3 linked regions of the Cricetulus griseus genome follow. The protein of the gene in region 2 purifies or fractionates together with the protein of the main gene of each other region. This does not show direct contact. Links are inferred from orthologs where the notes say so. Each region holds a gene or a part of one and is shown on either strand. Other genes may lie near its edges.

What was found. The genes of interacting proteins can lie anywhere in the genome.
Region 1: the proteins of Med9 (region 2) and Med18 purify together in Homo sapiens (affinity purification with mass spectrometry; 6 studies listed by BioGRID and IntAct, counting the BioPlex papers as one, with this or other methods). This does not show direct contact. The link is inferred for Cricetulus griseus from reciprocal best matches to the Homo sapiens genes MED9 and MED18.
Region 3: the proteins of Med9 (region 2) and Med8 purify together in Homo sapiens (affinity purification with mass spectrometry; 5 studies listed by BioGRID and IntAct, with this or other methods). This does not show direct contact. The link is inferred for Cricetulus griseus from reciprocal best matches to the Homo sapiens genes MED9 and MED8.

What each region holds. Positions count from the first base shown.
Region 1 is NC_048595.1:20,800,348-20,804,095, forward strand, and holds the start of Med18 (mediator of RNA polymerase II transcription subunit 18), read left to right. Parts: upstream 1-1,146; 5' UTR 1,147-1,300; intron 1,301-1,981; exon of another isoform or gene 1,982-2,036; 5' UTR 2,037-2,065; coding exon 2,066-2,138; intron 2,139-3,748. UniProt on the Homo sapiens protein: Component of the Mediator complex, a coactivator involved in the regulated transcription of nearly all RNA polymerase II-dependent genes.
Region 2 is NC_048600.1:74,064,546-74,068,293, reverse strand, and holds the start of Med9 (mediator of RNA polymerase II transcription subunit 9), read right to left. Parts: upstream 2,199-3,748; 5' UTR 2,163-2,198; coding exon 1,951-2,162; intron 1-1,950.
Region 3 is NC_048595.1:33,902,686-33,906,433, reverse strand, and holds the start of Med8 (mediator of RNA polymerase II transcription subunit 8), read left to right. Parts: upstream 1-815; 5' UTR 816-830; coding exon 831-863; intron 864-1,494; coding exon 1,495-1,613; intron 1,614-2,465; coding exon 2,466-2,610; intron 2,611-3,183; coding exon 3,184-3,324; intron 3,325-3,504; coding exon 3,505-3,586; intron 3,587-3,748. UniProt on the Homo sapiens protein: Component of the Mediator complex, a coactivator involved in the regulated transcription of nearly all RNA polymerase II-dependent genes.

The DNA of each region.
Region 1 (3,748 bases), on a different chromosome or scaffold from region 2:
TGGTGCCCTCTTCTGGTGTGCAGATATACATGGAAGCAGAATATTCTATACATAATTAATAAATAAAATCTTTAAAAATGATTAAAAAAAAAAAAGCCGGGCAGTGGTGGCACACGCCTTTAATCCCAGCACTCGGGAGGCAGAGGCAGAGGCAGGTGGATCTCTGTGAGTTCGAGACCAGCCTGGTCTACAAGAGCTAGTTCCAGGACAGCCTCCAAAGCCACAGAGAAACCCTGTCTCGAAACCTTTCCCCCCAAAAAAAAAAAAAAAAAAAAAAAAAAAAAAAAGCAGCAAGTGCTCTTAACTGCTGAGCCTCTCCCCTATTTATTTATTTTTGAAAAGTCTCACAATGTTGTTTAAGTCTTGAACAGTTCTGCTGGAGAGATTCTTACCACAGCCTTCCGAGTTCTGATTCAGACTGTGCCTGGTCCCCTGCATTCATTCATTCATTCATTCATTCATTCATTCCTTTATTTGGTTTTTCAAGACAGGTTTTTTCTGTGTAGCTTTGGAGGCTGTCCCGGAACTCACTCTGTAGACAAGGCTGGCCTCGAACTCACAGAGATCCGCCTGCTTCTGCCTCGGGAGCGCTGGGATTAAAGGCGTGCGTCACCAACGCCCCGCATGGTTCCCTGTACGTAAAGTTGAGGTTTGTACAGGAAATTATACAAGTTTGCTGTTGTATTAAGTTTGCACAGGCCAGGGAAAGGGTCTAGCACTGAGCTATTTCTCCAGACCTTTGAAAACACACAAAACATTCAGTGTTAGCACTGAGGCCCATACAGGCACAACGCTGTGCTTAGCTGGGGAGCGCATCAGACCTCTGTCACCTTGAGCTATCTGATGCTATCAATGCGGCTCTTTCCCCAGTGGCTCAGTTCACAATTTAAACATAGTATCCAATCAGTTTGGAGAGATCTGATCAAGACACCCAGGTCGTCGGAGCTGTGGGGGAGAGCGCCACTTATCCTAGAGCTGCCCTATGACGTAAGGCCCTGCAGTTATCCCCAGCGCACCGCTCCAGACCAGGACCCCCTCGCAAGGCAGCGCCGCACTTCGCACATGCGCTCTTGCCCCCGGTGCCAGGAGGCAGGCTCATTCCTGGCCCTCTCGGCACCCTTACTTCTCGGCGCTTCAGGGCCTAGGTTTCCTGTCCGTCAGCTTCCTGCCGGAAGTGCGGAAGGCGGATGCCTGCATCTTCTCTGGCGGGATTTTGGTATCTGTGGGTGCGAGTGTGCAAGCGTGGACTTAATTCCAGCTTCGCGGGGAGCTGCGGCGTGCACGGAGGCGTGTTGCTAGTGTAAGTGCACACGTGCCCGGGATCCCGGCGTGGGAGGACCGGTGCCGTCACTTTAGTCACGCTTCCCGCCTGGCTCGTTTGAAAAGGGGAAAAAGGCCGAGCCCTGTTCCAGGCGGACCCCCGTGTACCCTGGCGCCTCTCCCTGAGTCTCCTTGGCGTCCGCCTAGGGTGAAGGTCCTTAGGTCGCCTTCGGATCTTCTGTTTTGGGTTTTTAGAGGTCTCACTGCGATTCCCCGGTTGGCCGGAACTTGCTAGGTAGACCAGTCTGGCCTCGAACCTGCAGCCGTCTTCCTAACTCTGTTGTCGAGCGTTAGGATTACAGATGTGCCCCAGCACGGCCAGCTTTTATTTATGTTTGCAAACGGGGCCTCTGTGTAGCCTAAAGGTGACTCTACTTTTTCTGAATTTAGTTGTATGTCGGTTGTTTCGTTTGAGCCACGTAGCTGGGGGAGGGAGGCTGGGCGGTTAAATGCCCCTAGTCTTATTTAAAAGAGTAAGTTCCAGAAAAAGAGGTTGCACAGCTGCCTCAAGATTACCTAGGAAACTTAGAGGGTTCAGAATTTGAGATTAGAAGGTTACGCCGTATCTCCGTGGCCAGAACCCTTGTTTCTGTGTCGCCTGTTCATGGAGCGGGCTGTATAAATAAATGCGAAGTTCTGAATGCCTGAGTCTTGATTTCAGTGCCGGAGCCACGCTACTAACCGCTCCAGTGTACAAACAAGTGTGACTCTTCCAGGTGTATCCCGTGTTTACCTGACCGTCACCATGGAGGCCCCTCCAGTCACCATGATGCCAGTCACTGGGGGCACCATTAACATGATGGAGTACCTCCTGCAGGGTAAGTGAGCCAGGGAGCTTGCATTAATTGCCAAGTTTTTCCTTCCTTCCTTCCTTCCTTCCTTCCTTCCTTCCTTCCTTCCTTCCTTCCTTCCTTTTCTTTTTTGGTCAGAGTAAGTAGAGATAAAGCTAACAAAGTCAACCACACAGTTTCTGTCTCCCTGTAAGTATGTTTAAAGGAGGTAGGGTGGGAAGGTTGACTCAGTGGCCAGAAATTCACCACACAGACCAGTCTGGCCTCAGGTACCTGGGTTTAACGAGATGCACCATAAACAATTGCCTTTTCTTTTTTCTTTTTCTTTTTGGCTTTTCAAGACAGGGTTTCTCTGTAGCCCTGGCTGTCTTGGAACTCACTCTGTAGACCACGATGGCCTCAAACTCCCAAGTGCTGGGATTAAAGGTGTGCACCATCACCCCCCTGCTTCATTTTCTTTCATCTTTACTTTTTCTGCCTCTCGACTGACACTGATCACCTCCACACCTTGTTTTCTTCATCCACTGCTTAGATGCCCCAAAGAAGTGAAATGACTGGTTTGTGACAGGTTTCTTTTACTTGGCATTATATCCTTGACAGAATTATGTCTTATATTTACATGGTTTTTGTATTTTTGGAAACAGGGTCTTAGATAGCCCTGGACTCCTTATTAGCTAGAATTGCAGACCTAGGCTACCAGGCCGTGCTAAGTTCCTGTTTCCGAATCTCTATTCTGCACTGAGTATCTCAAGCATTGTATCTACTTACTTGACTCTTAGGGGGTAGTTTGTTTGCTTGTTCGTTTGGTTTTGGTTTTGAAGACAGGGTCTCACTTTATATATATCCCTGGTTGGCCTGCAATGTAAACCAGGCTGGCCTTGAACTCATAGACATCTACCTGCCTCTGCCTCCCAAGTGCTGGGATTAAAGGCGTGTGCCACCACCACCCGGCTTTTGCTTGAGTCTTGTAATGACCCCTAAATTTTATTTTATTTTTTTTAGCTCTGTCCTAAAGCCCAGAAGACAGAGATAAAGGCTCAATGATAAAACAAGACCCAAAGAGAATGCTGACTTTTTTAGGAGATCATACAATATATTTAGTAGGCAGAGTTAAGCTTTATTTATTTTTGAAATGTGTGTGTATGTGTATATACGCACGTGTATACAGGCGCTCTTGCATATTTTGTGGGAGTCATTTCTCTGCCACTGTGTGGGTGGGGGATTGAACTCAAGTCCTCAGGCTTGATATTTGTACTGGATTTAATTAGATTTTTCTATTACATTTTATTTGTTTGGGAGCGGCCTTGTGCTTGCCACAACACACCTGTAGAGGTCAGGGGACATGTGGGAGTTAGTTCTTTCCCTTCATTAGGTGGGTATCAAGGATTGAACTCAGGTCATCAGGCTTGGCAGCAAGCACCTCTACCCACTGAGCCGTCACATTGGTCCCTCTAAAATGTTACCGAGTAAACATTTAATTTTTGTCCTTGGGCAGTTGTCCTTTATCTTTGTATTTATTTGTTTGTTTGTTTTTATTTGTTTACTTATTTTTGGTTTTTCAAGACAGAGTTTCTTTGGGTAGTCCTGGCTGTCCTAGAACTCACTATGTAGACCAGGCTGGCCTCCAACTCGCAGAG
Region 2 (3,748 bases):
AAAAAACCCACAATAATTTTGCCAGATATATGAAAGTATAGCATATACAATTACAGGTAGTGCCTAATGCTTGATAAGGATATAAATAGTGATGTCACTAGTTTATGCATTTACTATAATGAACTTTTTACTATGATTTTAAAGCACACTCCTTCCTACTAAGAGATTCACAGTTGCTAGGTGTAATGGTACACGCCTGTAGCCCCAGTACTCAGGAAGCTGCGATAAGAGGATCAAAAGGTCAAAGGCAGTGTGGGCTTTGTAGCAAAAACCCTGTTCTCAAACAAACAAATATATAATTAAAACCCCCCTTTTAACAGAATGTCTTAATATACCAGCAGCAACTTTCATACGTCCCATGCTGCCAAGACTCTTTTTTGTTTATTATGTATGTGTGGTATGCCTTATATGTGCGTTGGGGTTGCTATTTGTGTCTGTGAATGCCTGCTGAGTGTGCAGGCAGTCGTGCTAAGGTAGGTTGTCTTTTTCTGTTGCTCTTCACCTTATTGCTTTGAGACAAGGTCACATGATGAATGGAAGTTCGGTTTCAGCCAGGCTGGCTGGCCAGAGCTCTCAAGATCTGTTTGTCTCTACCCTGAAATGCTGGGCTACAAGTATGAGCAGCCATGAGTGGCTTTTTATGTGGATGCTGGGGATTCAGGCTCAGATTGTCTTGCTTTCACAGCAAGCAAGTAGTCTCACCCACCAAGCCATCCAACACTCTCTTGCTGTTACCAAGAATCCTGACAGCACCAAGAGGCCCCATGGAGTAACTGTCCTGCACCACCTAAGTTTATCAAAGCACACTTGAGATGAGAATGTTTGCAGGACAAGTCACCTCTTGGAAGTGACACAACTGTATATGGAAATAACAACAACAACAAAAAAATGTAAGCCAGATTGGAGACTGGAGACTCTGGGTCAGAAAGGTAACACCCACATCCTTGGATATTCTGTTGAAAGTTAATACTGGGTGGGACATAATCATTTGGAGCAACTTCCGTGTCTTTGTTTCAAATGTTTTCTAGCATCACTCCACCCCTCTCCAGTTGTAAAAATCATAGACTATTATGTTTGTTTTTCTCTGCTCTGCTTCTTACTGTGATGGTAAACTGATGGTTCCTTTCCAGTGTTCATCCACAGTACTTAACAGTGCCACACAAGTAAAGATACTGCCTAGTATTGAAACGGGAACTGTGTTCAAGGTGAGAATCTCACATCTAAAATCCACAAATATTCGAAAACTCTTAAGGGGACCACATAATGCTACAAATGGAAAATCCCACACTAGGCTTCATATGAACAGTCAATTGTATAAAATTGCCTTTAGGTAGCCGGGAGGGGTGGCATACACCTTTAATTCCAGCACTCGGGAGGCAGAAGTAGGCGATCTCTGAATTCTAGGCTTGCTTCTACAAAGCAAGTTCCAGGACAGCTAGGGCTGTTACACAGGGAAGAAACACTGTCTGGAAGAAAAATAAAACAATTGCCTTTAGCCAGGTGGTGGTGGCTCATGCCTTTAATCCCAGCACTCGGGAGGCAGAGGCAAGTGGATCTCTGTGAGTTCAAGGCCAGCCTGGTCTGAGTGAGTTCCAGGACAGCCTGCAAAGCTACAGAGAAACCTTGTCTCGAAAAACAAAACAAAACAAAAGTTGCCATCAGACTATATGTGTAAGGACTTGAGACCCATCCCAAAGACGCTGAGGGGTCTGGGATGCGAACAAGAGGAGTGCACCGTAGAACCTGTGAATTTGCTCAGTATGTGAGCTTCACCTGGATGCACAGTGTAACTCTCAAGGCCTGGGAGGTGGCTGAACTCAAAAGGCGACTGTGCGGCTCCTCTGGGAAAATGGGGCGTGGCTCAGAGCGCGCTGGCTTCCGCTGCTCGGACCGAACCAGCAACACCAGAGGCCGGGAAAGTTGGTGTCTTGACCTCTCCTAGGCCCTTACCATTTGATGACATTGTGAACCAACGGCAAAAAGGAGTAATTCTCCTCCTTCCCGCCTGCGGGGGACTGAGGGCGCGGAGCCGGCGGCGGCGGGAGCGCGGCGACCGGTAGAGGCTGAGGCGGCGGCAGCGGCTTGGACTCCGGCAGCAGCTCGGGCGGTGGCTGCAGTGTATCTTCGGCCTGTCTCCCACCGGTCACCCCGGAGGAAGCCATGGTACCAGGCGTGCGGTACTGCCGAGAGTCGCTGGATGCTTACGTCACAGATGTGCGCCCGGGAGGCCGGGTGGGGAAAGGGTCTGAGCCTGCGCGCTGGGCGTAGGCGGGCAAGTGTTGCTAGGCGACTGGTATCCAGACGGCTAAATTAAGCAGTCAGGAGTAGGGGACCTATTTCAGTCATCTTTTTCTAGTTCGCATGACAGAGAAGGGTCAAAACACCAACAAGGACCCCCCCCCCGCCAGTCCCCGCCCTGGGACTGGCAGGAAGAACGGATGACGCCGGTGAGCGCCGTGTGAAAATGGGGCTCTGAGGCAGCGAGCATCCTGATGACAAGGACCTACGCTTCTTTGTGTCTTGCCAGCCTCCAGGAGGGCCCCTGACTGGCGACAGCAAAACACACCATACAAACACATTGTCTGCCGAGGTTCCACATGGCTGCCGAGGGAAAAATTAACCGTTCTTCAAGCATTTAGTCTGCATCTAGCAGGTGCCATATACTTATGTGTATAAGCAAAAGCGGGGGACTTCTGATAGATATTATGTTTTCCCAAGGAAAATATGACATGGAAGCTGTATTATAAATTTCTAGACAAGAAATTAGGAAAGCTGTCAACTGGGAGAGGCCATCTGTCCTTATTCAACCCCCATGCCAGTAAAGAGAGGCAAAGAGCTCAAAAAGGAACAGGAAGGGGCTGGAGAGACGTCTCAGTGCTTAAGAGTGCTCAGTGCTCTTCCAGAAGACTCTGGTTTGGTTCCCATCACTCACAAGGCAGCTCACACATGTCTGTAACTCCAGTTCCAGGGGCTCTGATACCCTCAGGCATACATTCAGGCAAACACCAGTGAACATAAAGTAAAAAATAAGTCATGAAAAAAGGAACAGGAATGTGAAGTTCACAGTGGCAAATCCCAAGTGGAGCAGGGATGTTGCTGACTTCAGCTGCCTTGGGAAGGGCATTTGGAGCCAGATCTTCAGAAATGGAATATTGGAGGTGTTTTGAGGTTTTTAGTTATGGGTCTCAGGATTGTTTTCTTCTGAGCTGCAGAGAGTGTCCCAAACAGAAGAAGTGGAGAAAGTGTTGGGAAAAGAATGATTGCAGTGTTGCATAAAGGAACACAGACAAAGTGAAATTTGACAAAGTGATTTCCTTTTGAAAAGTGAGTGTACCAGAACCCAAACCAAGAGAGCAAAAATACTCATTAAAATGCCCACTGCCTTTACCTCTTACTTAGATGGTGACTGCATTCCATCCCATTGGTGGGAACACAACTTCACAATATAACATGATGAGCTAGTCACCCAAAGGGGAAGCAGGGTTCAGGACATACTATAAGTCCTTGTGGGACTAAGTGTCTTTGATAGAAAAATGTTTCTCACTGCAGGAAACTGTAGGGTTTTCTTCTAGCCCAGTACCTCTCCACCTAAGGGGTGGATTCATGAGTCTTGGGGGAGAATGGAGGATGGAATGGCCTATTGAAATTGGACCAAGTGTGCCAGAAGAGATTAGACACCTTTGGAGATATCTGGGAGGAATTATGGTAAAAGTAGCAGTTATCACTACTGTAGAATGAAAGCAACAAG
Region 3 (3,748 bases), on a different chromosome or scaffold from region 2:
TGGGCCTCCCAGCCGCTAGCCACCGGCTGGAGGGTGGGCGGGCCGAGGACTCTGGGAAGTTGGAGCTGTGAGGATAGGGCAGAGGCCTCGGCTGTTTGGGGAAAGGCGGCGAAGCCGGAAGGGACGAGGACAGCTGCGGGGGGCGCGGGGATTTAGCGCGCTAACGCCAGAGGGTCAGAGGCGTGGGTTAGGGGGAAAGGCACGGCCGACTTGCTTGACTGTGTGAAAGGATCGAATTGGCATTTGGGAAGGCTAGAGAAAGAAGTGGGCTGGGACAGCCCTCGACCTCGACTGTTGGGCACAGGCGCAACAAGGCTTCAGAAGGCTGAAGGGATTGTGGGCCGCCAAGGACGAAAACTAAGCAGTTTGTAATCCGAGGCTGTGGGTGGAACCTAGTATCCAACCTCATCCTTCACATTCTCGGGTTTGCAAATCAGCTTTGTGTCATTCTTCCCGCCTTGTACCCCGTTGCTTAGGGCGCAGAAGTGGAGTAAATAGACCACAGATGGTCAAACGGAAACCCTCTGCCAACACAGCATTTAAAATTGTCTAACGTCCAGAAAGAATGTGTTGGTTTCCTCGCCTTTGTCTTCCATTACTCAGTTTGTTGCACCTGGTATTCCTACAGTGACTGTTTATGGGTCACCCGAGTTTACGAAAGAGACACTGGAATACTGGCACAGAGATGCAGGAGTACACATTGACTCAGCAAAGGACCAGTTGGGGAGGGGAGCTGCAGAGCTGGTGTTCAGAGACAGCCTCAGATACGGGCAAAATGTGAGATTCTCCAGATTGTGTTGAGAGTAGCTGCACTCACAGGGCAGAGGATAATGGCTTGCATGTACTATAGAGGCACCCATGAGGTAATGAGATAATGAACCTCAGGTGTGCCTTCTGGCCTTATATGCCGACAGCACCCCTGTTACCTTGGCAAACCTTTCTAACATGTACTGAACTTTCTGAAAGAAATGTGGCAATACCAACTCCACAGAATGACACAATACAAGGATTCTCTATATGCCCAAGGAAAGCAGAGTTAGGACATCAAGCAGCTGCGTGGTAGGCAGACTGTTTTCCAGAAAAGGCTAGACTTAACAAAGAAGATTGTGCTTTGGCTTGAGCATCTGCAGATTAAGAGAATGTTGGCTTTTAAGAGAGGCAGTCTTTTGAGCTGGGAGGAGAAGAGAATCGAAGTGAAAAGATGAAGGGCTAAGTGATAAACAGTTCTAAGCCAGTTTTGTTATGAAGACAAAATGGTGAGGTCATAAGCAGAAGGGAATTAGGTCTGGTGTAATGTTCCTTTTGAAGGGCCATAGTGTAGGAGGTTGATAGAAGGAATCAATTGGTAAGAGGACTTCAGGCCAGGTGAACAGGTTGAAAGGTCTAAGGGTTGATGCTGTCTGTAACCCAAATACCAAGATAGAAACCAATTTAGCTTTTCTGTATGTGCCACGATCGCTCGTATCTGAGTAACCAAGCATACTGTTGATGCAGAGGGAGGAGAAGCAGCTTGAGGCATCCTTAGATGCACTGCTGAATCAAGTGGCCGATCTGAAGAATTCACTGGGGAGTTTCATTTACAAGTTGGAAAACGAGTATGACCGGCTGACTTGGTAAGGATTGCCAGGGCAAGCCGGGGAGGGAATCCATGGGTGGTGGGGCCAAGCCCCCGGGCTGACAGGACATCTCCAATGATGTAACTATTTATCAGTTTGCAAATATCCTTTTTGATTTGGCAAGAACTAGGTTGCCCAACATTGACAAGTATAGTTTGGCTTAAAGCCTCCATGGCAAGGAAGTAGAGAAATGCCCAGTTTCCCAACGTAGGCTGTTTCGAGGTTTTAATTCTTACGCTTTGACTTCTTTGGTGAGGAGGTGTTCCCCCAGTGGGGAACCATTAAAGCTATATTCATGCTGGATCTCCTTCCACAGATGTGGCTGAATCTGAGATCCACCCTACTCTGGAATGATGGATTCTGTTAACTAGGCTAGAAAGGAGGCTTTTATCCACTTAAAGAATTTTTAGTTACCACAGTGTAACCACAGTTTCTGTTTTCCACTACCTCCAATCCCATTCAAACAATGAGTTACGACTGGCAGTGGTGGCACACACCTTTAATTCCAGCACTCAGGAGGCAAAGGCAGGTGGATTTCTGTGATTTTGAGGCCATTCTGGTCTACAGAGTGAGTTCCAGGACATCCAGGGCTACACAGAGAAACCCTGCCCCCTCACCCCCCCAAAAGGAAAAGAGTTGCTTTTTTTCTACGTCTGTGTGTCCGTGTTGGAAATTGACAGTGTGCTCCTCTTTCCCAACTCCATCATCTCTGCTAGAAAATCTGGTTCTTGCCTAGGCTAGTCATAGGGCTGTGAGTCTTCTGGGGGTGAGTCTGGGTGTTCCAGCATTAGAACTTTAGAGATTACTTTATAGGGAAAAGTAGTTCTGATGACTTCCTACCACCCGCAGGCCCTCTGTCCTGGATAGCTTTGCATTGCTCTCTGGACAGTTGAACACTCTGAACAAGGTCTTAAAGCATGAGAAGACACCACTGTTCCGTAACCAGGTCATCATCCCTTTGGTGCTGTCCCCAGATCGAGATGAAGACCTCATGGTAAGAAGAAAGGATTGAACCAGGGAAATCAGGTCCTTAAATGAAAGTCTGGAGCACAGTTGTTGATTGGACCCTCTGTATAGCAATGAAAAGTAGGGGCTGCTATCTGGAAGACTTGCTTTTTTGTCCTTCTGGAGTCAGGAGTCACTCTTAAATAATGTTGTGAAAGCCAAGGCCATGTCAACTAAGTCCATGACCTTTCTTTTCCAAAAAAAAGTCTGTTCTGCTTGCCTGTAACTTTGTCCAATCAGTCTTTAAAATGTGGGGTTAGGAATTTAGCTCAGTGGTAGAAAAAAGTCCTGGTTTGGTCCCCAGAATGGGGGTGGGGAATCACGAAAGACCAAAACAAAATAGAAACAACAACAAAAAGAAAATTACAGTGCGGTTGTGGAGGGTGGAATTTATTTTGTCCTAGTTCTGATAGAGTGTATGTGAAAAGACAAAGCCACAGAAAGCTACATTTGTGTCTCAGGTTGTGTTGTCTCTAAAAATGCAGTTTCCCACGGAAGAGAAACTGGGTTAGAATCGGCTTACTTGGATAGCACAATAGGATCAATACAATCTGTGTTACAGCGTCAGACTGAAGGACGAGTGCCTGTTTTCAGCCATGAGGTCGTCCCTGACCATTTGAGAACCAAGCCTGACCCTGAAGTTGAAGAGCAGGAGAAGCAGCTGACAACAGATGCTGCCAGAATTGGTGCTGATGCAGCTCAGGTTGGACTGAGTCACTGCCCTGCTGCCCCATCCCCATCCCTTCATAAGAAGCAAGACTTTACCAAGCCTGGGTAGTAGGAGTCTGTGGTTGGTTACAGCTAGGCTGCCTTTGGAAGAGCACAAGGAAGATGCTTTCCCAGAGTCATTTCTAATCACTACATCAATTCCTGTGTGTTGCAGAAGCAGATCCAGAGCTTGAATAAAATGTGCTCAAACCTTTTGGAGAAAATTAGCAAAGAGGAACGAGAATCAGAGAGTGGAGGTAAGGAGGCTGGTTGGCAGAACAGAGTGAGAACTGTATACGACCACTATGATAGGAATGATAGTCTGTGTAATAGTGAAGTGAGGACATAAGAATGAACTGCTGGGCTGGCAAGATGGCTCAGTAGGCAAATGCACCAGTTGCCAGCTTGACCTAAGTTTA